Linked DNA regions of Drosophila melanogaster. The protein of the gene in region 4 purifies or fractionates together with the protein of the main gene of each other region. This does not show direct contact. Each region holds a gene or a part of one and is shown on either strand. Other genes may lie near its edges. The genes, in order: TpnC4, ND-18, CG6330 and GstS1.

The links.
Region 1: the proteins of GstS1 (region 4) and TpnC4 purify together in Drosophila melanogaster (affinity purification with mass spectrometry, with the first as the bait; one large-scale study listed by BioGRID). This does not show direct contact.
Region 2: the proteins of GstS1 (region 4) and ND-18 purify together in Drosophila melanogaster (affinity purification with mass spectrometry, with the first as the bait; one large-scale study listed by BioGRID). This does not show direct contact.
Region 3: the proteins of GstS1 (region 4) and CG6330 purify together in Drosophila melanogaster (affinity purification with mass spectrometry, with the first as the bait; one large-scale study listed by BioGRID). This does not show direct contact.

What each region holds. Positions count from the first base shown.
Region 1 is NT_033778.4:5,502,909-5,509,741, reverse strand, and holds TpnC4 (troponin C isoform 4), read left to right. Parts: upstream 1-1,875; 5' UTR 1,876-2,055; coding exon 2,056-2,058; intron 2,059-2,947; coding exon 2,948-2,981; intron 2,982-3,030; coding exon 3,031-3,429; intron 3,430-3,483; coding exon 3,484-3,504; intron 3,505-6,093; coding exon 6,094-6,098; 3' UTR 6,099-6,305; downstream 6,306-6,833.
Region 2 is NC_004354.4:19,490,401-19,493,845, reverse strand, and holds ND-18 (NADH dehydrogenase (ubiquinone) 18 kDa subunit), read right to left. Parts: upstream 1,426-3,445; 5' UTR 1,310-1,425; coding exon 1,260-1,309; intron 1,170-1,259; coding exon 849-1,169; intron 790-848; coding exon 609-789; 3' UTR 509-608; downstream 1-508. Other genes in the region: CG12204 (uncharacterized protein), read left to right, coding at 1-438; pcm (pacman), read left to right, coding at 2,033-2,107, 2,167-3,261, 3,331-3,445. UniProt on the Drosophila melanogaster protein: Accessory subunit of the mitochondrial membrane respiratory chain NADH dehydrogenase (Complex I), that is believed not to be involved in catalysis. Complex I functions in the transfer of electrons from NADH to the respiratory chain.
Region 3 is NT_033777.3:26,949,581-26,955,238, forward strand, and holds CG6330 (uncharacterized protein), read right to left. Parts: upstream 3,675-5,658; 5' UTR 3,543-3,674; coding exon 3,424-3,542; intron 2,319-3,423; coding exon 2,195-2,318; intron 1,840-2,194; coding exon 1,492-1,839; intron 1,430-1,491; coding exon 1,058-1,429; intron 989-1,057; coding exon 845-988; 3' UTR 543-844; downstream 1-542.
Region 4 is NT_033778.4:17,093,470-17,101,197, reverse strand, and holds the start of GstS1 (glutathione S transferase S1), read left to right. Parts: upstream 1-1,696; 5' UTR 1,697-1,706; intron 1,707-2,891; exon of another isoform or gene 2,892-3,072; intron 3,073-3,662; exon of another isoform or gene 3,663-3,970; intron 3,971-4,220; exon of another isoform or gene 4,221-4,394; intron 4,395-6,137; 5' UTR 6,138-6,162; coding exon 6,163-6,433; intron 6,434-6,501; coding exon 6,502-6,681; intron 6,682-6,739; coding exon of another isoform or gene 6,740-6,748; coding exon 6,749-6,882; intron 6,883-6,969; coding exon 6,970-7,137; 3' UTR 7,138-7,728. UniProt on the Drosophila melanogaster protein: Conjugation of reduced glutathione to a wide number of exogenous and endogenous hydrophobic electrophiles. May be involved in the detoxification of metabolites produced during cellular division and morphogenesis.

The DNA.
Region 1 (6,833 bases), about 12 Mb from region 4:
AAACAATCCGAGAGCAAAATCCAGAAAACCCGTATTCCTTTGGATATTGGCAGTAAAAAAGTGTGGGCGTTGAAGTTTTGCGCTGTTTGTGGGCAAAAGACATTGAAAAGAACTCAACAATTTTTCATATGTGTGCGCCGGGCAGTTTGGGACTACAAACCCCGAAACGGGGTTGGCAAGCATTTTAAATTAAAATAATACTGCTTAAAATGTAATGCTTAACCACAACTCTATATGGACAGACAAACGAACATGGCCAAATCGACTTTGCTTGTGATCCTGATCACGAATGTATATACTCTATAGAATCGAAAACGCGTGAAATACTGATTACATTATATAGGATCAGGGGACAAACTGCCCTTCCGCTCATCTGCAGGCGTATTTAAGATCAGATCTGTTGTCTTTCCTAGCAGTTTTTCGGTTAATATTTTCTTGAGGTGTAAGATGACGGACCATTGCCAAATAATCACACTTTGGAGCTCCAGCAGAACTTGAACTGTAATACTCCATTCAAATTGCTAATTGTACATCGCTATATATGTACCTACCTATACGTAGCTTTTAGGGCCATTGGAAAAGAGTGCTTAGGCACATGCATCATTGGCCCACTTGTGGGTTGTAACTTTGTCAATGTGAGAGACGCCACGTAAATCAAGTTTCGGAGCGACAAGTCATAACGGTCATAGCGTCAACGTAAGCCTAAAAAGCCCAGCCATTGGCTATTTCACCGTATAAGACAGAAATTCGTTTTCACAGACCGTCCAACCATCAATAATTAAAAGCCATGATGGAACTATTGTCTTTCACTGGGCGTCTTCCTTGTAGAATGCGACAGTGCCTGCCTTGGGAACGATTCTATAGGCCCAGCAGTCCCCTCCATGTCATCTGCTACGAGATGTAGGCTGTGTACCACATTATTCTAACGTGTGGGCGTGGCAGTTTTGGGCGGCTTGAGGGCGTTAGCGTGAGTCAACAAACTAGCGCTGCGTCTATGTCTCTGGAATGGTAATCTCGACAGACGGAAAGGGTCAGATCGACTCGGCTATTGATCCTGATCAAGAATATATACATACATACATTATATGGTCGGAAACGCTACTTTTCAGCGAAACTAGCACTTTTACTTTACGAGTAACGGGTATAACAAACAATGAGATCACACATTTTTGAAAGTGTGAAGGTAAAATTGGTTTCGTGAAGTACTTTATCTACGATAAAATCATATTAATTAACAACTTTCACTAAATTAATAAAATATAAATAGCTTTCACCCCATTTTGACACTACGTGATGAATGCACCAACTTCGGTAAAATATATGCAATGGTACATTTTGATACTCATCAATTATCGCGCATTTCTCTTGATTAGGTAGATTAGGAAGAAACAGTAACAGGAAAGGAAGCTTGATTCAGTAAGTAAAGATATCTTAAAGATATAAATATTACTGTGCAACGAGGAACGCTTAAAAATATAAGTTCCGCGTAATATTTATGGTTGAACTGTCAAAGAAAATGTTTGTTATTTCCCGTATAGATTAAGTGTTATGGTAAATCATTAATTTAAGAAATATGTTGCCTTTATGGTATCAAAAATACTTAAATTTCTAATTTTATATAAACTAAAAAATAAAAATTTTTAATTGGATTATTGCTTTTACAATTTAAGGAATAAAAGTTTCGGCATAAAGACCACCCTTACTCTTCGAGCGCTTCTTGCTCTTATTTCCTTATCATCGATTAGGATGAAAATTTAGCCGTTTGTATACAGATGTAGTCGCTTACATTTTTATTGTTAGCGTTCGTTCGGAAAAGCTTTGGCATTTTCCATTGCCGATGAACTTAGCTAACATAAAACACAAATCGAATTGTTTAAAAGCTTGGTGATAATTGAAAGTAGCGTACCCTGTTTCTTTAGCTCCTCTTCTGGGACACTTTTTAGATTATCAAAAATATCGTATAGTAATAGTAATATAGTATTTTTATATTATATTTAAAGGGTTTTCCTAAACCTTAGCGGTGTAATTTGATTTAACAAAAAAAAACTCTTTAAAATGGTAAGTTACGATATTATAACTTTGATTAAACTAAAAATTAATGGAGCACATTCTGAATTTTTTATATAAAATTTACTGTTGACTAAATATAAATATAAATATAATTATTTACCCTTGCTATGAAAAAACACAATTTATATAAATATAAATTCCACAAGCGATAAAGTATAAAGTATTAAGTTTGTAAAGTGGTTGGAAATAAGCTGTCAAGGGAAAGTGATTTTTGATATATTTTTTTTTTTGATATAGATAGTGTCTATCTACGTATGAGACAAATAGGAACTTAATTGTCATCACTGCCGTTAATCTGCAGATCATTTTCAAAACATTAAAATGTAGACGACAACGTGCGCTATGTGGATTTTAATAACCAGACAGTGAAGAAGATATTACCTTAAAATTTTTTAATTTATCATTAACTTAGTATTTATTGCAATAACACCCGCTACCCGTTACTCGTAGAGTAAAAGGGTATACTCTATTCGTTAAAAAGTATGTAACTTGCAGAAGGAAGCGATTTCTACCACATAAAGCATAGACATACATTCTTTATCAGGAACAATAGCCGAGTCGATCTAGCCATACATATAAGGGATATATTGTTCTACATCGCTAAAGTAGAGTCTTCGAACATTTATGGTAAATCAGTTGCATACGGACAGACGGGCTACCGAGCAAAAGTTGACTTCGTTACAAAAAATGCACATAAGAAAACGTACCCTTTTTGTGCATGAAAGACATGCATCTGTATGCAATATATTTTTGGAAATACAACATACCCGTCCACCAAACGAGTATAATTATGACATTACTCTTGTAGACACCAGGCTGACATGAACATATAGTTCATTATCTTAAAGATTTTATTATATATCCATACTTCTTTCAGGCCGATGGAGAATACGACAAGGAACAATTGAGAAGTAGTATAAAATTAAACTTTTATTTACTATTTAAAAAACGACGTATTAGTCCTTAGGAACGCCTTCAAGGCTTTCGACCACGACGGTGCAGGATCGATCGAACATGCTGATGTATCTAGCATTCTTGAAATTTTGGGTCAGAAATTAGAACCACCTGCGGTAAAGGCCCTTATTAAAGAGGTCGATAAAGGAACAACTGGTAAATTGGATTTTAGCCAGTTCTGCAAACTGGCAGCTCGCTTTATTGAAGTTGAGGAAGATGTGGGAGCTCTTCAAAATGAGTTAAAAGAGGCCTTCCGTGTATATGATAAAGAGGGGAAAGGATACCTGACAGTTGCAACACTAAGAGGCATTCTTCACGAATTGGACGATAAGCTTTCTAACCAAGACTTAGATATGATTATAGAAGAAATTGATGCGGATGGATCCGGTACGGTTGATTTTGACGGTAAGTAGTTTAATATAATTAATCAAACATTCAATAATAACGTTTTCATTGCAGAATTCATGCAAGTTATGACAGGTAATACATGATACCCTTAAACAAATATTAGTTCCACCTATGTAAAAAAACACATTCAAACAAAACAATATTATTCTGACCTTCTTTACGGTTTGCCGTTTAAGGGTGAAGTGACGATACCACCCACGTGCAAAAAATAATCAACTTGTATGACTACAATTGATATTGCATATATTGCATAAATTATAAATTCATAATATAAAATTTACGCAAACGGCGCCCGTTTTTCTAAAATAATTCCTGTCCACCAAAACATTTTCTATTAAACGATTTATTATCGTATTGCCTTGTAAGGATGTGTTTTTTTTTTATACTTGGTTTTTAATCGTCAACATAACGGCATAAGCAACATCAGTTATGACCGTAAAATGTTGCTTATGCCGTTAGACGATTAAAAACTAAGTGTGCTAAGGTCTCTATACCTAAGACAAGAGAGAAGACCACAGTCCAGTTATGAAATCCTAAAGAAAAATGAAAAAAAAAAATTGGGCGTGGCAGTTTGAGCGGCTTGTAGGCGTTGAAGTGCTGATGGCAAAAAGTTTTTTGGCAAATCGATAGAAATTGTCAAGCTTATTACAAATTTAAAAATATTATAACATATATTTTTTTTTTTTTGGGTATGCGTGCCACGCATATGCATGGCAATGGCTGGGATCCAACGTAGGGTCTTTTCTTTAAGCTTTTCCGGGTTTAAGGTTCTTAGGACCACGATTCCTGTGATCGATTCTGATCCATATGGGCATGTCCGAATGTATGTCCCTAAACATCTCCGCTTCTGGGGAGAATCCTCTGTTACATCCAATACCTCGTGTTTTTGTAGGGTTGCGTTAATCGCTGCTTTACCGTGCCACTTTTTATACAACATGCAAAATGCAACATTTGGTACAAAAGGAATCAATATTATTTACTGACGTGCCAAATGTTCATTGGCAAATAGGAATAGAGGGATGCATAACAAAAACCGGGTGTTGACTTGAGTGTTGATCACCTTACATTAAGAGATCAGTTGAACAAAGAGCGTAAAGTGAAACATCAATGAGAAAGAGTGAAAGTCAGTAAAGTATCAAACTGATCAAATCAAAGTAAACTGGCTTGTTGTGATCAGACTCAATATGGAGTTGGCTTGAGATTAAAGGGTAATGTCAAGGTCCATACAAAGAAGTAAAAAGTAAAGAAAGAAATGTAGACAAGGTTGGCGATGGTGAATGTCCGGTCCTTTAAAAACATCCACCATATCTGAGTTCGTGCCGAATAGCAAGTTAGATGTACCGAATGTTGAAGTTTGAAACAAGCCAGAAGAGCAAGTAGGCAGACAAAAACTGAGAGACTGTCGTTTATGATAATAAAATGACGTCGCAGAAGTATTTGTCTTCAAACAGAGCCCGTTTAGTTACATATATTTTTGACCAGAATTCATCTTCCAACACTGGAAACTCTTAGTGAAAGCACCTATCGATAGAATTGGAGGCAGATTGACTAAGAGAATAAGAACGGTACATAGTGTAAATAAACAACTGGAAGTTACGTAATAGGCAGCAAATTATGAAATTTCTTGGAACATTCCTTTTAGGTCCAGAGGGGGGGAGGGAAGCTGCTCCCCCTGCCCTACCCTGGCGACGCATTAATTGCTTTGTAAACTTCTATAGATTTGCTAAGAAAGTGTCAACATTTTTCGTTCCCCCTCCCACTAAATGAGTAATGAGTATCTGATAGTCCAGTAACTCGACTAGAAGGCAGATGACAAAATGACACCGATAAAAATTGGTAGAAAAAACATGATATTATAGAATGCTATAGTCCAGTGCCTCGACTATCAGATACACGTTACTCAGCTGATAAATTTAAAAACAATAAATATGCCTCCATATATGGATGTTATATATTTGCCGCCCGAATAAGCTACCGATTGGGCGTGGACAACATGTTTTTGGTATATTTTCAACACATTTAAGAAGTGTGTGTGTGGCGTTAGAGGCGCGACAAAATTGAATTTTATATATATATATTTTTTTATTATATATTTTATAAAATAAAATGTTATAAAATATCAACATATTTTTAAGACATAGATTAAGATTCCTGAGACATAGACGAAGTGCAAGGTTGTTTCTCAATTTTGCCACGCCTACTTTTACGCCCACAAGCAAATCAAAGCTGCCACGACCACACTTTTTAAAATGTTTTTATATTATTCATTTTTGTATACGTCTTATTAATTTCTATTGATATGCCAATACCCAATCTTCACAAATCTGCCACGCCCACACTTTTGAAAAATTTTTTGATTATACCAAACAATTTTGGACGCCCCTTCTAGCACCTATAAAACGACCAAAACTGTCACGCCCACCTTTTTTTAAATTTTTTAATATTTTTAATATATTATTCTCTATCTAATTCTATCGATATGCCAGAAAAATTATGAAAATTCCCATTTTCCCTTCCACTAGCTGAATAACGGGTATCTGATAGTCCGGTAACTCGACTATAGCATTCTCTCTTGTAATTTCAAATATTTCGTTCCTTATCCTTATATTTCGTTATATAAATATAAATATTTTTATAAACACTAAAACTTTTCTCTTCCAGGTTGACCCACATTGCTCTTTTTTGACATGCTGTGCAAAAGCTCAGATATGGCAGACAATGCAAAATCAAAAATACATAAAACAATAATAGCCATTAGTTTTGTGTCAAATATTATAAATAAAATTTGATTGAAATGTATTAGCATCATTTTTCTCTTATCTAATTTAAATATAAACAAATATCGGGCCAAAAGCAGATAAGGCCGATGTACGAACAGACGGATGAACATATGTGGTAAAGTAACAGGTGTGGCAAGGCTGTACTGTTTCCTCTTCTCCTTGCGTTCTTTGATGCTTAACTTATTTCATTTATTTTCAATGTATGGGAATAAAGCGACAAATTATCTGAGATTGGGAATAAATGTGTTAGAGCGTGACCGATAGTGCTGTTGCTGAACGTGGTTAAAGTGCGAAAGAGATACGAGAAAAGGAAATGAACCATGCTAGAGGCGAGAGCGTCAGTTGTTGGTTAGAAGCCAAAGCAGATAGAAGAACTCGTTGATACCTCAGCCTTACAAAATAGATTACATTTTACAGAAAAGATGTACAACAACACTCAAAATCCTTATGAGCCGATATCAAAAGTGGGATCTGTGCCGCACCAAAGACACTAGAATAGTGTCTTTGGCCGCACCCTGCGATTTCCGAGGGAACAGTGGCGTGCAGTTCTCGAAATGCAATACGGAATTTCGATGAACTTGCGAAAATCATGCAAGCATCGCCGTCATGTGAGCAGTAGCA
Region 2 (3,445 bases), on a different chromosome or scaffold from region 4:
GAACAGGAGCACGGCGGGCGGCATCATAAGCAAGTCGACCGACAGGAGCACCGCGGACGGTATGTTGAGCAATCCCAGCAAAGGACGCAAACGGAGCGGCAACAGGATCACAAGGGACGACGCGATAAGCCAGCGGAGCGGTTTCAGGAGCACCAATGGCGGCACAACGAGCAAACGCAGCACAGGCAGCGGTACCAGGAGGACAGAGGGCGGCATAACGACCAAATGGATCGTTTTAAGGAGCACAAGGACCGAGGACAGCGACAAGAGCATCGGGACTGGCGCAACGAGCGCAGAGATTGGTACCAGCATCATGATGACAGCCGGAAGAGAAGCCGCAGTCCGAGCAGGCATCGACATGGCGATAGGCGTCGGGAGGAGCGAGAGCCACGCGAGAAGCAGCACAATAGGCATCGCTCCCAAACCGCTCGTCATTAGAGCGGCATGTGATGGTGCCGCTTCCATTGGCAGCGAAACTGGTGGCCATTACATGGTGCTGTGGTCATTTGAGTCCAGCCGACTGTTTATTTGGGTACTCAGATAATGAACAAAGCAAAAAAAAAATCAGATAATTGTGGTCTATAATCCTGGCTAGCTGCGGGGAGCGTCTACTTGGTGGAGACGCGCGTGCGCTTGTTCCAGGCAAAGTTGATGCCGTAGTTCTTGACGCGCTCCTTCTTGGGCTTCGCGGCGCCGTCGACGTACCAGCGCCATCCGTTCCGTTCGCAGAACGTGATGGCCTCCTCTGGGGATCCGAACTGCACGTTCATGTTGGACAATGGGTCGCCGCTGGAACACGAGACGTTGACCAAGGTTGCCATGGCATGGTGGACGTGCCAGCTACTCACCTGGAGGCCCAGCCCATGAGCGGATTCTCCCAGCGCTCGCGGTTGTCGAACTCGATTTGCCAGGTGTTCACGTTATCGGTGCCGCTCTGCATTGCGTTCTTGGGCGGAATATGGATGCGCACACGGCGCTCCCGAATGTGCTCCTCCGGAACGCCGCTGATCGGGCTGAGATTGACGGCAGTCGGCACGGTGATCTTGCCACTCAGCTTGTTGCGCTGCTCCAGCTCTTCGGGGCGGGCCAGGGCCGTCTTGGGGTCCAGCGGACCGCCGTCCGTGGCGGTGGATGCCCAGCGGGCAGCGGCTGCCCTGTTGGCCTGGTACCTGCGGTGTCAAGATGCGAAAGTGGATAATTAGAGGGCTGCAGATTTGCCAGGTCGGATGCACTTGCTCCGGCCAGGCGGGGGTACCTACAGCTGCAGGGAGGCGGTGCTTCTGCACATCACTTGGCGGAGGGCCGACATTTCGCTAGGCGTTTGGGGCTACACGGCAGAAATCGGCTTCAAAATACGAATTACGTAAAATTTGGAACACAAGCGCTTTTCGATTGGGAAAACAGCTGTTCGCCAGTGCCAGTGTGACCAGGCGAGCGGTGAGTGTTTTTATTCTAATTGGAAACAGTGTGGCCCCTCGCCTTGGATGCGATGCCACAATAGTTCAAAAACAGTTTTCTTCTTTTTCACTTCGAACTTCGCAAAAACTATGAAATGCTGTTCAAGTGGTAAAATGAACTTTAAAATGAAAATGAATGAAATGAAATACACTGATGATGAACTAGAGAAGTAACTAGAACTAAAACTATGCTATTTGTAAGCCAACTGTTTAAATGATGAGCATTGCATTTGCCCAGTGCTGCCAGATATGTAGGTGTTCTTAGCTCCTTTTAGCTTAATTTCACCATTAGCTGATTATTGGCAAAGGAGCCCGTTTCGCTTATCGATTCTAATATCGATTTGAATCGGTCAGGGTCCTTATTCTTTCAGTTATTCATCGAACTGCGGAATGCCGCCGGCCCTACCACATGGCAATAGCGAAACGTTGTGGCAACGCCTCGCCTACTTGCAACTTTTGTGTCAATCAATACATGTTGAAAACAGATAAAGACACAAATTTTTCAGTTCATCTAAATTGCCACTGATCCAGGCAGAACAGCACGGCGGCAGAACAGTCCCATCCAGAACAGCGACATGGGCGTTCCCAAGTTCTTTCGCTACATCAGCGAGCGATATCCGTGCCTCAGCGAATTGGCGCGGGAGCACTGCGTAAGTAAAGCTGCTAGGTCACGTTATATGTTGCCATGCACCGTACGGTTCCTTTGCAGATACCCGAGTTCGACAATCTGTACTTGGACATGAACGGCATTGTCCACAACTGCTCGCATCCGGACGACAACAACATACACTTTCACCTGGAGGAGGAGCAGATATTCCAGGAAATCTTCAACTACGTAGACAAGCTGTTCTACCTGATCAAGCCGCAGCGCCTCTTCTTCCTTTCAGTTGACGGGGTGGCTCCACGGGCCAAGATGAACCAGCAGCGCAGCCGGCGATTCCGGACGGCGCGCGAGGCGGAGCAGCAGGAGGCCAAGGCGGCCCAGCGAGGCGAGTTGCGAGAGCACGAGCGCTTCGACAGCAACTGCATTACGCCGGGCACCGAATTCATGGTGCGTCTGCAGGAGGGACTGCGCGCCTTTCTCAAAACGAAGATTTCGACGGATCCGCTGTGGCAGCGTTGCACCGTAATCCTAAGTGGCCAGGAGGCGCCCGGCGAGGGCGAGCACAAGATCATGGACTACATTCGGTACATGAAGACGCAGCCGGACTATGATCCCAATACACGACACTGCCTTTACGGCCTGGACGCCGATCTGATCATTCTGGGCCTCTGCACCCACGAGCTGCACTTCGTGGTGCTGCGCGAGGAGGTCAAGTTCGGGCGCAACGTCAAGCGCACCTCGGTGGAGGAGACGCGCTTCTTCCTGCTGCACCTGGGTCTGCTGCGCGAGTACCTCGAGCTGGAGTTCGACGCCCTGAGAACAGACGAGCACAAATTGGACATTGCGCAGCTTATCGACGACTGGGTGCTGATGGGCTTTTTGGTCGGCAACGACTTCATTCCCCACCTGCCGTGCCTGCACATTTCATCAAATGCACTGCCGCTGCTCTACCGCACCTACATCGGCATTTACCCGACCCTCGGCGGCAACATCAACGAGAACGGCAAGCTCAACCTGCGCCGCTTGCAGATTTTCATATCGGCCCTCACCGAGGTGGAGCTGGATCACTTCAAGGAGCACGCCGACGACTTGAAGTACATGAACAACAAATCAGAGGCGTTCGACATGGACGTCGGCGAGATCACCGAGTCTCAAAACCTCGACTCCGATCTCGGAGCCCTCATCAACAAGAGCATGCTGGTATGAACTCTCTGCACTGACCGCCATCCCGTCATTTCCGTCCGCTCAATGCCGCCTTCCCATCCACAGCTCTACGATGACGACAGCGAGGAGGACTGCTCCGACGAGAACGCGGTTCTTCTGAAGGAGTTCCAGAACTACAAGCGAAACTTCTACCGCAACAAGTTCAAGCGTGATCCGAATG
Region 3 (5,658 bases), on a different chromosome or scaffold from region 4:
ATGTTTTTACGATTGTTTAAAAATATATACATATGTAATGCAAATAAATAATGGAAAAATAACTGTTTTGGTATGATCTTTTAGCCACCAAAAAATGAAATCGCGTTAAGTGGTTTGTATAATTTAATTACAATTTCTTTTAATATACCGTTGAAATATTTGTCATAAATTTCGTTTTTTTACAATATAACTTGTATATTTGGTTTTATCGTGTGCTATCCGTAATTGTATTGATGTTATTTTCAGCATTTTGTTCTTCATCGTATTGTTTTCATTTAATTTGGATATAACTAGACAGAGAAAGATTAAGTGCTGTTGGATTTGGTTTAGAGTCGAGTGTACGGTAGCAACACTAATCAACACGTACATTTAACAAATCTTTAGGAATTTCAATACATTATAATATAATAATTTATAAAATGGAAATGTAGCATTTAGTTTTGTTTGGTATTGTTGAATCTTTGCTTAATAGATTAGCCCCATTTAAAATATGCAACATAACAATTAACAATTTCATAATTCTTCTATATTATTCGTTATTTGTTTTGTGATCTCAAAAGCGTTTATTTCTGATAACCTTTGAACGTCACACTCAGTGATACTATTTTTATATATTATTGATATACATATATATATTAAATTGTGGTAACATATGAACATATGCACGTACAATATGATCGGTTTTAAATTATCCGATGAGGTTGTGGGCGATATACACAGAAATAAAGCTAGGAACTTAATCAGAGCTAAACTAGGGAATGTTGAAACATCATTGTATACTGGAGAGATGCGCACATATAATGTAAGAAGGTGAAATGAGATGGAACTGGTCACATGATCCCATTTACTCGTGGGCCTGAGACTCCTGCTGGACGAGCTTGAAGCGCCGGGGTGACTTGATGGATCCCTGGTGTCCGAATAGCGCCTTCAGCTGTCCATTGTGCGTAAGGACCTTGCGAATATAGCGCGACACGAGGATCTGCGGACGCTGTTTGGGTGAAAAATCATATGTTCAATTACATTCCATTGAGAGGGGGAGTTAGTCGGGATCACCCACCGCTTGCCACTCGTTCATGACCTCCTTGGGCGCGTTGACCTGATCCCCATTGAGGCGGTTCAGCAGGGCGACACACACCACCGCTGCCTTGATGCCGGCATGGTGGGTCAGGGCCGCAAAGATGGTGCTCTCCATCTCGATGTTGACCACGCCGTTCTCGCGCAGCTTCTCCAGATAGGCCATCTTCTCGTTCTCGCTGAAATCACAGAATGCGCCGTCCAAACGACCCTGGCCCTCGTAGAAATCGTTGGTGCACAGCGTCTTGCCAATAATGGTATCGTACGGATCATCGGGACTGGCCAGGGACTTTAGCTCACGGGCCAGCTTTTTGTCCAGCTTGGCAGGACGATGGATGGTCTTGCCGAGAATGGTCTGCAAATCAAGTGTTTAGGGTCATCTATCGCATTTGAGGTGATATTTCAGCCACGACTTACAAACTCATGGGAGTTCCTCAGCTGCCCATCGAGGGCATCTTCGGTGATGATGACGGTGCCGCCGTCGACGCCAATTCCTCCGCACGTTCCTATCCTGATGAAGACGGGATCCTTGCACTTGGCGTGGTACATCAGCTTGATCATCTCATGCATCAGGATGCTGACCGAGGGCGTACCCATGCCATGGCTGACGCACAGCACCGGTCCCACTTTGTACATGGAGTAGCGATACGAATAGGCGCTGATGTCCTGCAGCTGGGTGCCCGCTGGCAACTTGTAGCCAATCTCGTTCATTATGAAATGGGCAAAATTCTCCATGCGCTTTGGTGTGCCGCCCATGCAAACGAACTGAAAGTCAAAGACAGACACGGATTAATTGAGTGAGCTTTTAGAAGGGGAATAACCGGCATTGTGTTTCAGATTTGTAAATTACTAATACCGCTGGTATTGCAATCTATGACTATATAATTATTTATATAAAACATACCCTTAATTGTAAATCGCAAATCGAACCAGTACTAGATTAGCACATTGATATATTTATTAAGTTTATGAATCTGACTAAGCATATAATTAGCTTAATTGGCAACAGCTAATGAACTCGTTTCGCTTGTGCCCCACTTGATTTGATAACAATCAAGGTCTAGGTCTGGGTCTAGTCTTTAACCGCCTCAGACTATGAATAATTCAAGAGACCACTCACCTTAACGTCGCCAAACATCTCCTGCAGGTCGTGGCTCTCGCTGCCCAAGGCCAGGTGATAGAGGATATCCTGGTCCATGAGCTCAATGTTCGAGTTGCGCAATTTGACGGTTCCATCGGAGTACCTGCAATTAAAGCGAATGCAAAACGAATTAATGAGGATTAAATTCTATTCGCCGCCAGCGGGGGCCATAAATAAACGCCCACTTCAGGCCAAGAAATGAATGAGTTAATTACTTTCAGCTGTCAGAAGTAAATCACACTTAAAAATGCTCGTTTTCTGATAAAAGATAAGTTTATCTAAGTGTTTCCTAGAAAATCGGTGGCCGAACAAGCCCCCCAAAAGTGTAATCAGTTGGGATGGGCAGGAAGAAATTCGTCATCGCTGGAATAATTATTTATTTTTTAGGTAATGCTTAGCAAAAACACATTGTTATGAGCTAATTTTTATGAAATATACATTACTTATACACACAATTTTGTCACACAATCGTGAGTAAGCACTATTCGAGTATTTAATGGCCACAAAATGACAGATTCAAATTTCGTATTTCTAATCAATATTTGGATCAGAATTGATTCGTGTATTAGTGACTTTATTTATAGAGACCCCCCTTGCGATGTAGGGGGTCTAGAGAGCACCAATACCCAACCAATATCATTATCAAGTGCGTCAAACGGGGAGTCGGAAAAAAAACATGTTAGAAGTGTGAGCAAAACAAAAAGCAAAATGTCTATGACTCTAGCATAATCAAATGAAAACCCCGTGTAGTCTTGACCTTGATTGATAAGCGCGAAGTGAATATATTTCGTAAGCACTCCGGCAAACATCCGATTGAAGCATAAATTATGATTTGATGAGCTCGGAAATCGGATAGGATGAAAAGTGATCTTTGAAATGAATACAGGGTAATCGAGTAGGCGTCACACCCACCGGTCTGTGCAAATATTGTGCCAACTGGCCAAGCGTTCTGTTTTCCATTGGCGTTCTTTGCTCAGATGAAGAGCTGGTTTTGTGCCAACACAGCGATTTGACATCAGGCAAACTATAGACTGCATTGCAGATGGATTTTGATTTGCATTTGTTTTCATTTTTCAATAGAAAACGGCTGTTATTTGTTGCTAGCAAACAGAGAAATTTCCAGAGCAACTTTCTCGCGCCAAATGAAACAACCCCCGGCTGACTTAAGAAGCAGCTGCAGGACCAAAAACCGGTTTCAGCATCCTTACCGCGTTATCCTTTTCACGTACGCATCGTCCGTCTCGTCGTCCTGCAGCGAGGACCTGTGGGCGCAATCGTAGTGGGCCTTAAAGTCGTGCGTCTGATTATCGGTTATGGTGGGCGGCATGATGTCACCTCTCGAATGTCCTTTAACTCACAAACGAACTACCAACTACCAGACGAAGGAGCAGCCAGCGAGCCAAAACAAAACTAGTTACTCGTGTAGACACGTCAACGCTTCGAGCGAGACTGAAAAAATTTCTTGCGTTTCGCCGGCCTTTATATAGGCCGCTTCTGCTGAGCTGTGTAGATAAGACAATCTTCTCGGCGAATCGGAAGTTATGCTGCGCAATTTGATAGTGGAAATGAAAATATATTGCACACTGTATGGTCGTGTAATAGAAACCTCTATAGAATGGCATACATACATACATAGATACAGATTGTTATCAGTTCAGAGCGACTTATGCATCACTAATCAAGTGCAATTGGCCACGAGCCTTGAGGCGAAATTGCAGCCGAGCATAACGGATTTGCGTAATCCAATTATTGCAATTTCGCTGCTTTATTCGCTGTATGAACAGGGTGTTCGATCAGGTCCAATTAGCCGAATCATTAGTATAACATTTCAACTTTAAATTCATGCAAATTGGCTTGGAATTTTTGGTTTTGTATATTTTAAACGGGTTTTTGAGATACCTATTTCGCTACACATTCTTCAACTCTGATATTTGCAAATTAGATGCAAATAAGACCAATTCGGTTAATTTATTTTTAATGTTGCCCACAATTGGCAACTATTCGCATGAAACTAGGCACCCTGTGATCGTAACTCAAAGTAACTCTACAAAAAGAAATATTTCGCCATGGACAAGAATGTGAGCAGCGCAACTACCACTATTGTAGGCCCAGTCACCAGTGCGTCATCCGATGTCGGTGGCTTTAATTTCGAAGTCAGGCCATTAAATATACATAAACAGACGACAGCGAAAGACAAACGAAAGAGGAGCTCATTGCCCACACACAGTTACTCCTGCACTCACACTGGCAAGCAGAAAGCGAAACAATCAGCAAAGAAAAGAGGGAACTTAAACAAACAGAAAGAAAAATAAATAAAAACGGGTAAGGCTATAAGATAACTTGTACCTTTTACATACATTACAAAAACGATTTTTAAACTGTTGACATCTAAATTTATTTATATATTATATATGCATATATTATTATTATATATACGCATATATAGTACAACGTCTTGTGGTGCTACAATAGTGCAATATACCCGACAAACGCGCAAGTACCAGGTATTAAAAAAAAGAAAAGAGCAAAAGGCAAAAACAAAGCTCAGTCAAAAGCAGTCGAAAAGGGGGCTCGGCTATGTTGGCATAGCAATTCACAAGAGGGAAAGAGAACCAGACAGAGACAGGGAGGCAAGTAATAACAGAGACAGAGAGAGACAGCGCGATTGCAATAGAAAGAGAGGTTGGCTTCTATGTACGTGACGCGGCTCACAATTTGGTTTTTGAGGTCGCATTTTGGCGGTGAGCAGAGTGCGGCAGCGGTGGAATTCACTTAATGGCCATACTCGTAATTAACTTGGCCGATTCCCCGTAACTACCATTGATGGACTTTGCCAGCTGCAAAGCCAAATAAAAATCGTTGTTTATATAAGCCAAAACTATGCGAGACTTGCTGTGATATTCGTTTGAATGGGCAGTGAAATAAAGAAAACTCATTAACCAACACAAATCATGAAAAGTGGTTCAATAACGATATTCGAGTTTGTTTTCGTCATATCATCGCTAAAGTGCTTCTTGAGGTACCCTTTGTAATTTGAGATGAGTACGCAATCGTGGCCATTTCAAGTCGTTTCTTTGGGTCATTCCACTTGGTTGGTTACCATGGGTAAGCTTGACTGTCACTGGCAGCAACAAATGTCACTGCCATGGATCTAGTCTTTTCATTGTGAGCTCAAGCACTTGATCTATTTATGGGTAACCCAGTACGTCTTAGGATATGGCAAGCTAGAACAATTTCTGGATATTTTCACTATCCCAACTAACGTAAGAATCATAAATCCAGAATCGATTTTAATGTTTGGCAACTTCTTCGAAACGAGGAAAAGCTTTTTCCAGCTAAGAGAGAATAATGCATTAGTCACGTCACACGGCAAACCATTAATCAGAAAGCTTTAAATGGATATCCTTTAAGACTGTGAAAACCATTTCAACCATACCTTTCCT
Region 4 (7,728 bases):
CGCCTAATTGGGCATTTAGCATCGTCACATGCAAGTTTCATTGTGTTTGACTTTGGCTACCTTTTAACCCGAGTGCAACAAAGGGTATATTGCTTTCGTGCTAGTCTTAAACAGCAATCTACACTTGGAGGTCTATCTAGTATTTTTTCAGTTGGGGGATCAACTCTACTTTTTTTCGTAATAACAATCGGGAAGTATTCGGTCGATCAATTTCTGATTCACTCTGTTATCTTCACCCACTCCACTGCTTATCGTCATTTATAATATTTGAATGGGTTTTAAAGCCACTTCTAACATTTATAAAGTATGGCAATCATAAACGGGTACATTTTCACACAACTACATCAAACTACTTTAACCAAAATCGAAGCTATGGGCGAATAATAGCTAAACAAATAGATACGTGGAAACCTTGAATTGGATAATACGATTTTCGCCCATCAGCAGAGTCAGCTAACAAAATAGAGTTTATGTATTTAGTCAGCCGATTACAAAGATAAAGGCACACAGAATAGTGGCTTTAATGGCTTAAAGTGGCGAAAACCACTCATTACCGACACGAGTCAGTACGAGTTTGAAGCAAAACAGCTTTGGAGCCAGCACTGATTCGGGCGAAAAGTGACAATTTTTTTGTGTATTTACTCAATTAAAATTGGAGTTTGATTTTCAGGTTTTGCACAGTTCATAATTTGTGGGCACGTGTTAATGAGACAGTTTTTGTAAGCGCATGCAGACGTTTCGTGTTCGCTTTGAATTTAGATTTCTTCACTAGCTGCCATTCGAGTTCACTTGCCAATTTCGGCACTTACATTGTTCGCTATTTATCGGTCTTTTGCCGCGCTTTAAGGTCACGGCTCACGCTGCGTATACGCAATGTGGACTTCAAGCGATCGCCCAATTGGAAAACATTCACCAACTCGCGCAACGTTCGCTCACCTGCGCATTTGAATTCGCACTGAAGGTGGAATTCGCAGTGCAGCAAGTGCGAGAATTATCGCCTCTCCCGATCTCACTGTTTCTCTCTCTTTCCATATAGCACCCGTCTATAACTTTTACCGCTGCCGCTCCCGCCGTCTGGTTTTAACTGTTCGCCCGCCGAGTGTTAGTTATAATTTTTTTATGCGCTCGCTTTTTTATTATTTAGATTGCTCTCGCGGGCTCGTCGGTTCCGTTCTGTGTCGCATTTTCCACAGCAAATTATTGTCATAATTCCGCCGCTCATTCTTCGTGCTGCTTACTATTCTTTTTTTTTTACTTATTCCTGGAGTGCAATTGCAGGCGGCATAAATTCTTAATTAGTGCAGGCCACACAGCAAATAATTTTATTTAATTGCAGCCATAGTCATGACCATAAAATAGTAAACTACTTTCAATCCATAAACGTTAAAATCATACATCTATGCACTTTATTGGAAAATATTTTATAGCACGTTGTTAGAACATAAAATTTTATAGCAAGCTTCAAAATGCATAATTGCAGAAAAAATCCATTAGGTTTAAACGTAAAATTTCTGCCTGTGCATAAAACTTAGTGGTCTTCGCCAAGAAAGAAACGAAAAAGAATGCGGAGAAAATTGGCGCACAACCAGGCAGTCTGGAAAACCTACTTCAAAAACAATAACGAATCGAAAATTTCCCTCACTAGCGAGCAGTGCGTCAAAAAAAACTTCGGACTTTTTTTTAAGTCTCAGTTAGAGTTATTCATGGTGAGTCCGCTGCGATTTGTCATATATTCTCCACCTGTTTCACTCGATTATGCACTCGTCAGCGTGTTCGAAATGTCTGTCTTATCGTGAACGATTGTCATATCTTATCAATCGAGGTCTGCTCACAATCGAAACCGCCAACGCAAAACGAAGAGCTGAATACGCGCCATCGCATTAAAGGCCACAAATCGGTCATTTTCTATGGATTTTCGCGTAATTCTACGAGAATTCTGGGCTCGATTTTGTGGGGGATTTTTGCTGTTTTCTTACTTGTGCACCGATTCGCTTATCTTTGCACATTTTCGAACGTACGCCGCCCAGCCAACACAAAAACACACAAATAGTGCCCGAATCGCATGGAATGCTTCTTTTCCAGCTGTGGGAGTCCCATGGCTGCGAAAAGCTGGTGAATTCGATTGCGTTTTATGGTAGTTATTTGGGTAGAAGCAAAGATTGTGTGGGTACAAGATGAAAATTGTAGGAGTCCCATCAATTCACAGTGAATAACACTTAATCAAGTTTTTTAATCAATTAATTCAATTTTATACTATTTTATGTCAAGTGCTAAGCAAACGGCAGTCATTTTCAGCTAATGATAAGATATGAGCTAAGACCTATTTAACTAAGTGTAACTGACCTTCTAACTTAATTTATGGCAATTAATAAATTTCATTAAATTTTGATACAAGTAAACCCAATTAACAAATCATATTTTCGCGCCAATATTCAAAATTTAAACTTACCACACTTTTCTAAGTCGAATTCGCCGCAATTCGAGCCACACTTTTCTAAGTCGAATTCGCCGCAATTCGAGCCACTAACAGCTAGCCAAGCACACAACCTAAATTAGTGCGGCTTCTAACCAACCTTTTTATTATCAAGTACCGCAACCATGCAAAGAGTTGCCAGAATGTTAATTTCGAACATTTACGTTACAAGTTGAATTTGTCATTCAAATGTTTAAATTTTTAAATGGAAATTTTGCCTTCAGCAAATATGCCTAAATTAACAGGTTTAATTAAAATAATTTTACTTATTTTACCGATATTTATAAATGCAATTAGAAAAGATATGAAAGAGCCCCCGTTAAGCTATTCAAAAACAAAACAATGTGCAACATGTTTTAAATGCTTAAATAATTTTAATTTGATATAATTCACAAGCGTTATACATTTTTTCCCTTAGACAACCCTATGAAGTGAACCTGATGCTTCCCACATAAGTAAACATCTTGGATGCACTCGAATTTCGTCGCCAGGCACCGCCAGTCTGGATCGAACTAAGCAAAGTCCAGAGCACCGCGATTGAGTATTGGGCGTTTCAAATTTCCTGGCTAATTTCTCACAATCAGTTAATGCTAACAAAAGTACTTATGCGGCGGATAGTTCCTAAGAATGTGGGAGTATGACTTTAAGATACGATAAACTTACTTAATGCAAATAGGAGTAAGATTGAAAGTTAATAATTAGTTTTAGGTACCCATAAGATGTTTTTTTCTTCGGCTCTCAAAATCTGCTTTATTTAGTTTTCGTTCTTTAAACTATGTATCTTTTAAGTGGGCAGTAAACAAGCTTCATCCACTAAAAGCCCAAACAAATATTTACTGCCTTTTTTTGCTACTATAATTGGTTTATTACTGAGCTGAGAACCTCTCCCAAAGAGATCTATTTAAATGCCGACTGAGAGATTTTAAGAACAGAGAGAGAGTTCCATTTTGTTTATGAAAAGCTAATTGCCAAATTGGGAAGCCAAAGCCTGCTGGAATATTGCATTCCATTTAAGAAAAGAGGGTAGGAAGAAGAAGAACTGGAAACGTGGCTAAATATGTTAACTAATTCATTAACTTCGTTTCCTTTTCAACGCCCACTGGAACTAGAATCAGAGAGAGAGAGAGAGAGAGAGAGAGAGAGAGAGAGAGAGAGCCAAACTTAAAATTAAAACACTACCTTTTTCCAGTTAACCGGCCGGCTTACACACACAGTCAAACGCCTGAAGCTTGAAAGAGAGTGTTTGCTTGATGAGAGCGGCAAGCGTATAAAAGCAGCGTCGCCGGCAGAAGAAAGTCAGTTGCAGTGCAGTCGTCGTGACGATCGGTTCAGTGATAGCTTCCCAGTGGCTGGAGAGAGTGAGAGTAGAGAGTAACGGAAAGAGAGTGCGAATCGAACCGAACGCTATTCCTTCGCCCACGATTTAAGTGAACGCTTATTAGCGAATTGAAGACCCGAGAGCCCCAGTGCCCAGCTGATTTCGTATTCTTTGTTGAGGTAAGCCAAGGAATCCCTGGAACCACCTCATTTCGTAGCACCTTAGTGATGTAATTACGCACCAAGATTTACCCTTGCCAAAAAGTGGAAAACGCTTTTGCGAACTTCGATGCCGAATGGTGTTCGTCTCGAATCGGTTCTAAAATTACACACAATGGTTTTTTGGCTTCGATTGATTTGATTTGATTTTTGGGTCAATCGATTCGAAATCGAAAAGTTTTGAACTCGTTTCGCAGAATCGCAGTTCGCGCGGATCTCTCGCCTCGCTCGCAAGCAAATATGTGAAGGACAACGACGTTAACCGATCAACTAGAAGCCCTCTTCTTCTGCCTCTTCAGAACCGATCAGATCGGAATAGAAATATAGAAACGACCATAGCACCTCCGTCGACTGTGGAGTGCGTGAACGTATTTCGAAGCGTGAGGTACTCGAACCGGAACCAACTTGAGTGTAGTGCATATTCGGGATCTTATCCAAACGCAGGCTTACATAACCCCTATTTTAATACCTTTTCAAAAAGGAATAATTGAAATTCAAAACAAAATTATTTAGCAACAAACAAACAATCAGTTATATTTTTGAACTGATATGCCTCGGGGCTAGGGGTCCCAGACTTTCAAATTCTAGTGATAACCCCCCCGATCGGCGAGTTCATCTGGAAATGTTGCCCATATGGGCCGGGTGCACGTGAATCTCTTCAGTGCCCATTGACGCACTTTGTGTGCCTCCACTGGGTCCTTGACCCGCTGTGATCCCTGCCCTTTCCCATGGATTGGATAATCTAGGTGTCATTATCTTCCCTAACCTTTTCCCACGATTAAAGTGAAACCATTTGCCACGATTTTAGTGCCGTAGTGCCAGATCAAAGAGCCAAAATAGATCAGAGAATCGAAATTTAATTAAATCATGACACCGAAACACCGAGACAGACCAAATTAAATTCAATTGAAGCTGTCATGGCAACAAGTGCCAGCAAAAAAAAGGAAGAGCACTACGGCGAAACCAGAAGATAACACCGAAAAGTCAAATCGATTGTTGCAATTTGAGACTCTCCGAAAGCGAAAATTGCAGCGGAAGAGGCGGCCAATCGGCCATTACTAAACGGTGATGGGGTTGGGGAGGGGATCCGAAGTCTTGGTGACTGACTGGGCGCCCTGCCAAAATGATGGCAAAGGCAGAGACACCATGATTCCTCAGCCAAATCGAACGAAAACGGGTTTACGCTCTACATGGACCCCATTGCACACTGAATCCGTTTATCCAGCGAGGCAAAAAGTGCCGACGACAATGGAAACAGGGGCGTAGTATCCGTACCTCCTCCGTCCTACGATTCTTCCAGCAGCGCCAACGCCCCAAAAGATATTGATTCCGACTTTTGCGCGATTCAGCGAAAAACATAAGGGGACCAAAAGTGGGCAGACGGGCGGAGGAGTGGTGTCTGTTTCTTTGATATGCGTGGGTGTGTTGTCTGTGCGGCAATCGATGCACTTCCGGTGGGTTCTATGGGGAAATACTCTTGCGTTTCAGTATATATCTACTATATATATTGCAATTTTATGGTAATTATATTTTCTGTCAACTTTTGCCTTGACTCCGCTTGATTTATTGCATTGTTCTTGAAGAATAGCCTCATAAGGCATGCAAGCAAACATGGCTTTCGAACTAGCGCAAAATTAGCTAGTAGCTTATAGAGTATATGTAGCTTACCCCCAACGGTTTTTATATCATTTGTTTAAACCACTTAAGAATATTCGTAGCCTTGTGGACACACTTTATCGTGGATCGTGGAAGTTATACGACACCGTAATATATCCTTATCACTCACGCATATTCTGGCCCACTTCAGCTAGAAACGTTTGGCGCGTTCGCCTTATCATAAAAATCAGGCTATCGACTGATTAACTGAGTTTAATAAGCCAGCAAACGTAAACAAAAACTACGAAAGTTCTGGAAAACTAACCAAGGCTATTTCAAAACGGCGTGAAATGGCTAGCACTCTAAATTATTGAAGTTTTCAACATATGTATATCTAATCTGATAGCCAAGAAAACATAATGGTTACCAACTTTCCATATACACCGTAATTTATTATTGATGAATATCAAATTATCGATAGTACTTCCCCGATAAGATTCTGTTAACACACATTGCTCTACTTTTCTATCAGGGAATTGCATTGAGAAAGCGCAGAGATGGCCGATGAAGCACAAGCACCACCAGCTGAGGGAGCACCACCAGCCGAGGGAGAGGCGCCACCACCCGCCGAGGGAGCCGAGGGTGCCGTCGAGGGCGGAGAGGCCGCTCCACCAGCAGAGCCCGCCGAGCCCATCAAGCACAGCTACACGCTCTTCTACTTCAACGTGAAGGCGTTGGCCGAGCCCCTGCGCTACCTGTTCGCCTACGGCAACCAGGAGTACGAGGATGTGCGCGTCACCCGCGACGAGTGGCCAGCCCTGAAGCCCAGTGAGTGCCATAGTCCATCATTGAGTGGTCAGTGGACTAACCATAATCTACTCTGTCTCATCCAATAGCCATGCCCATGGGACAGATGCCCGTGCTGGAGGTGGACGGCAAGCGTGTGCACCAGAGCATTTCGATGGCTCGATTCCTGGCCAAGACTGTCGGCCTGTGCGGCGCTACTCCGTGGGAGGATCTGCAGATCGACATTGTCGTTGACACCATCAATGACTTCCGTCTAAGTAGCGAACAATGTGTGCCTCAGTTTCATGTTCAGTGTCCTTGATTAACTCTGGAATTTTTAATGTATAGAAATTGCAGTCGTCTCGTACGAGCCGGAGGACGAGATTAAAGAGAAGAAGTTGGTCACCCTGAATGCGGAGGTCATTCCATTCTACCTGGAGAAGCTCGAGCAGACCGTCAAGGACAACGATGGTCACCTGGCTCTGGGCAAGGTGCGTGCTCAAATGAGAACTTGAAACCATACACTCGTTAATTTTGAATGAACAATACTAAGAACCATCGATTCCTTTCACCCACAGCTGACCTGGGCCGACGTCTACTTCGCAGGCATCACCGACTACATGAACTACATGGTCAAGCGCGATCTGTTGGAACCCTACCCAGCTCTGCGCGGAGTCGTGGATGCCGTCAACGCTTTGGAACCGATCAAGGCCTGGATCGAGAAGCGCCCCGTCACCGAGGTCTAAGTTCACCGAACAGGACTTGGGAGGATGGGAAAGCATTGCACAACCACTCAGACACAACCGCACCGCAGAAATGCACACCACCCACATCTGCACACATTTTGTTCCTTTTTGCGGAGGATCCGAGAGGACGGCGGATTTTCGCACGGGGTCATAAACGCGTAGGAGTTTAGCACGTATCACTATGGATAAATCGTATTTGTTCTTAATTTCTTGGTTATAATTCTCTTTGCATGGCGCTATATACATATTTCTATTGGGGTCCGGCAGCGGATCGCCGTTCGTTAGCTTCTTCTGAAATGATGAAAGATAATACTTATTGCACAGTTTATAATATTTTGGCTTACTTTTAGAACATACATTTAGCGCACCTATGCAGACATTTGCTGTACCTATATATATATATATATGCATAAAATACAAAAGCTACGAGTGGTTCATCTTATAGGCGTATTCTATTGCAATTTATTCAATGCGGAGGGCTCAATAAATATTTAAAACAACACCAGCTAAGGCTGAGAAACAATTACAAATTCTTATTTTGTTTTTTATACAACACGCCATCGCGGCCCCAGGAATTTTCTTCGTCTCATC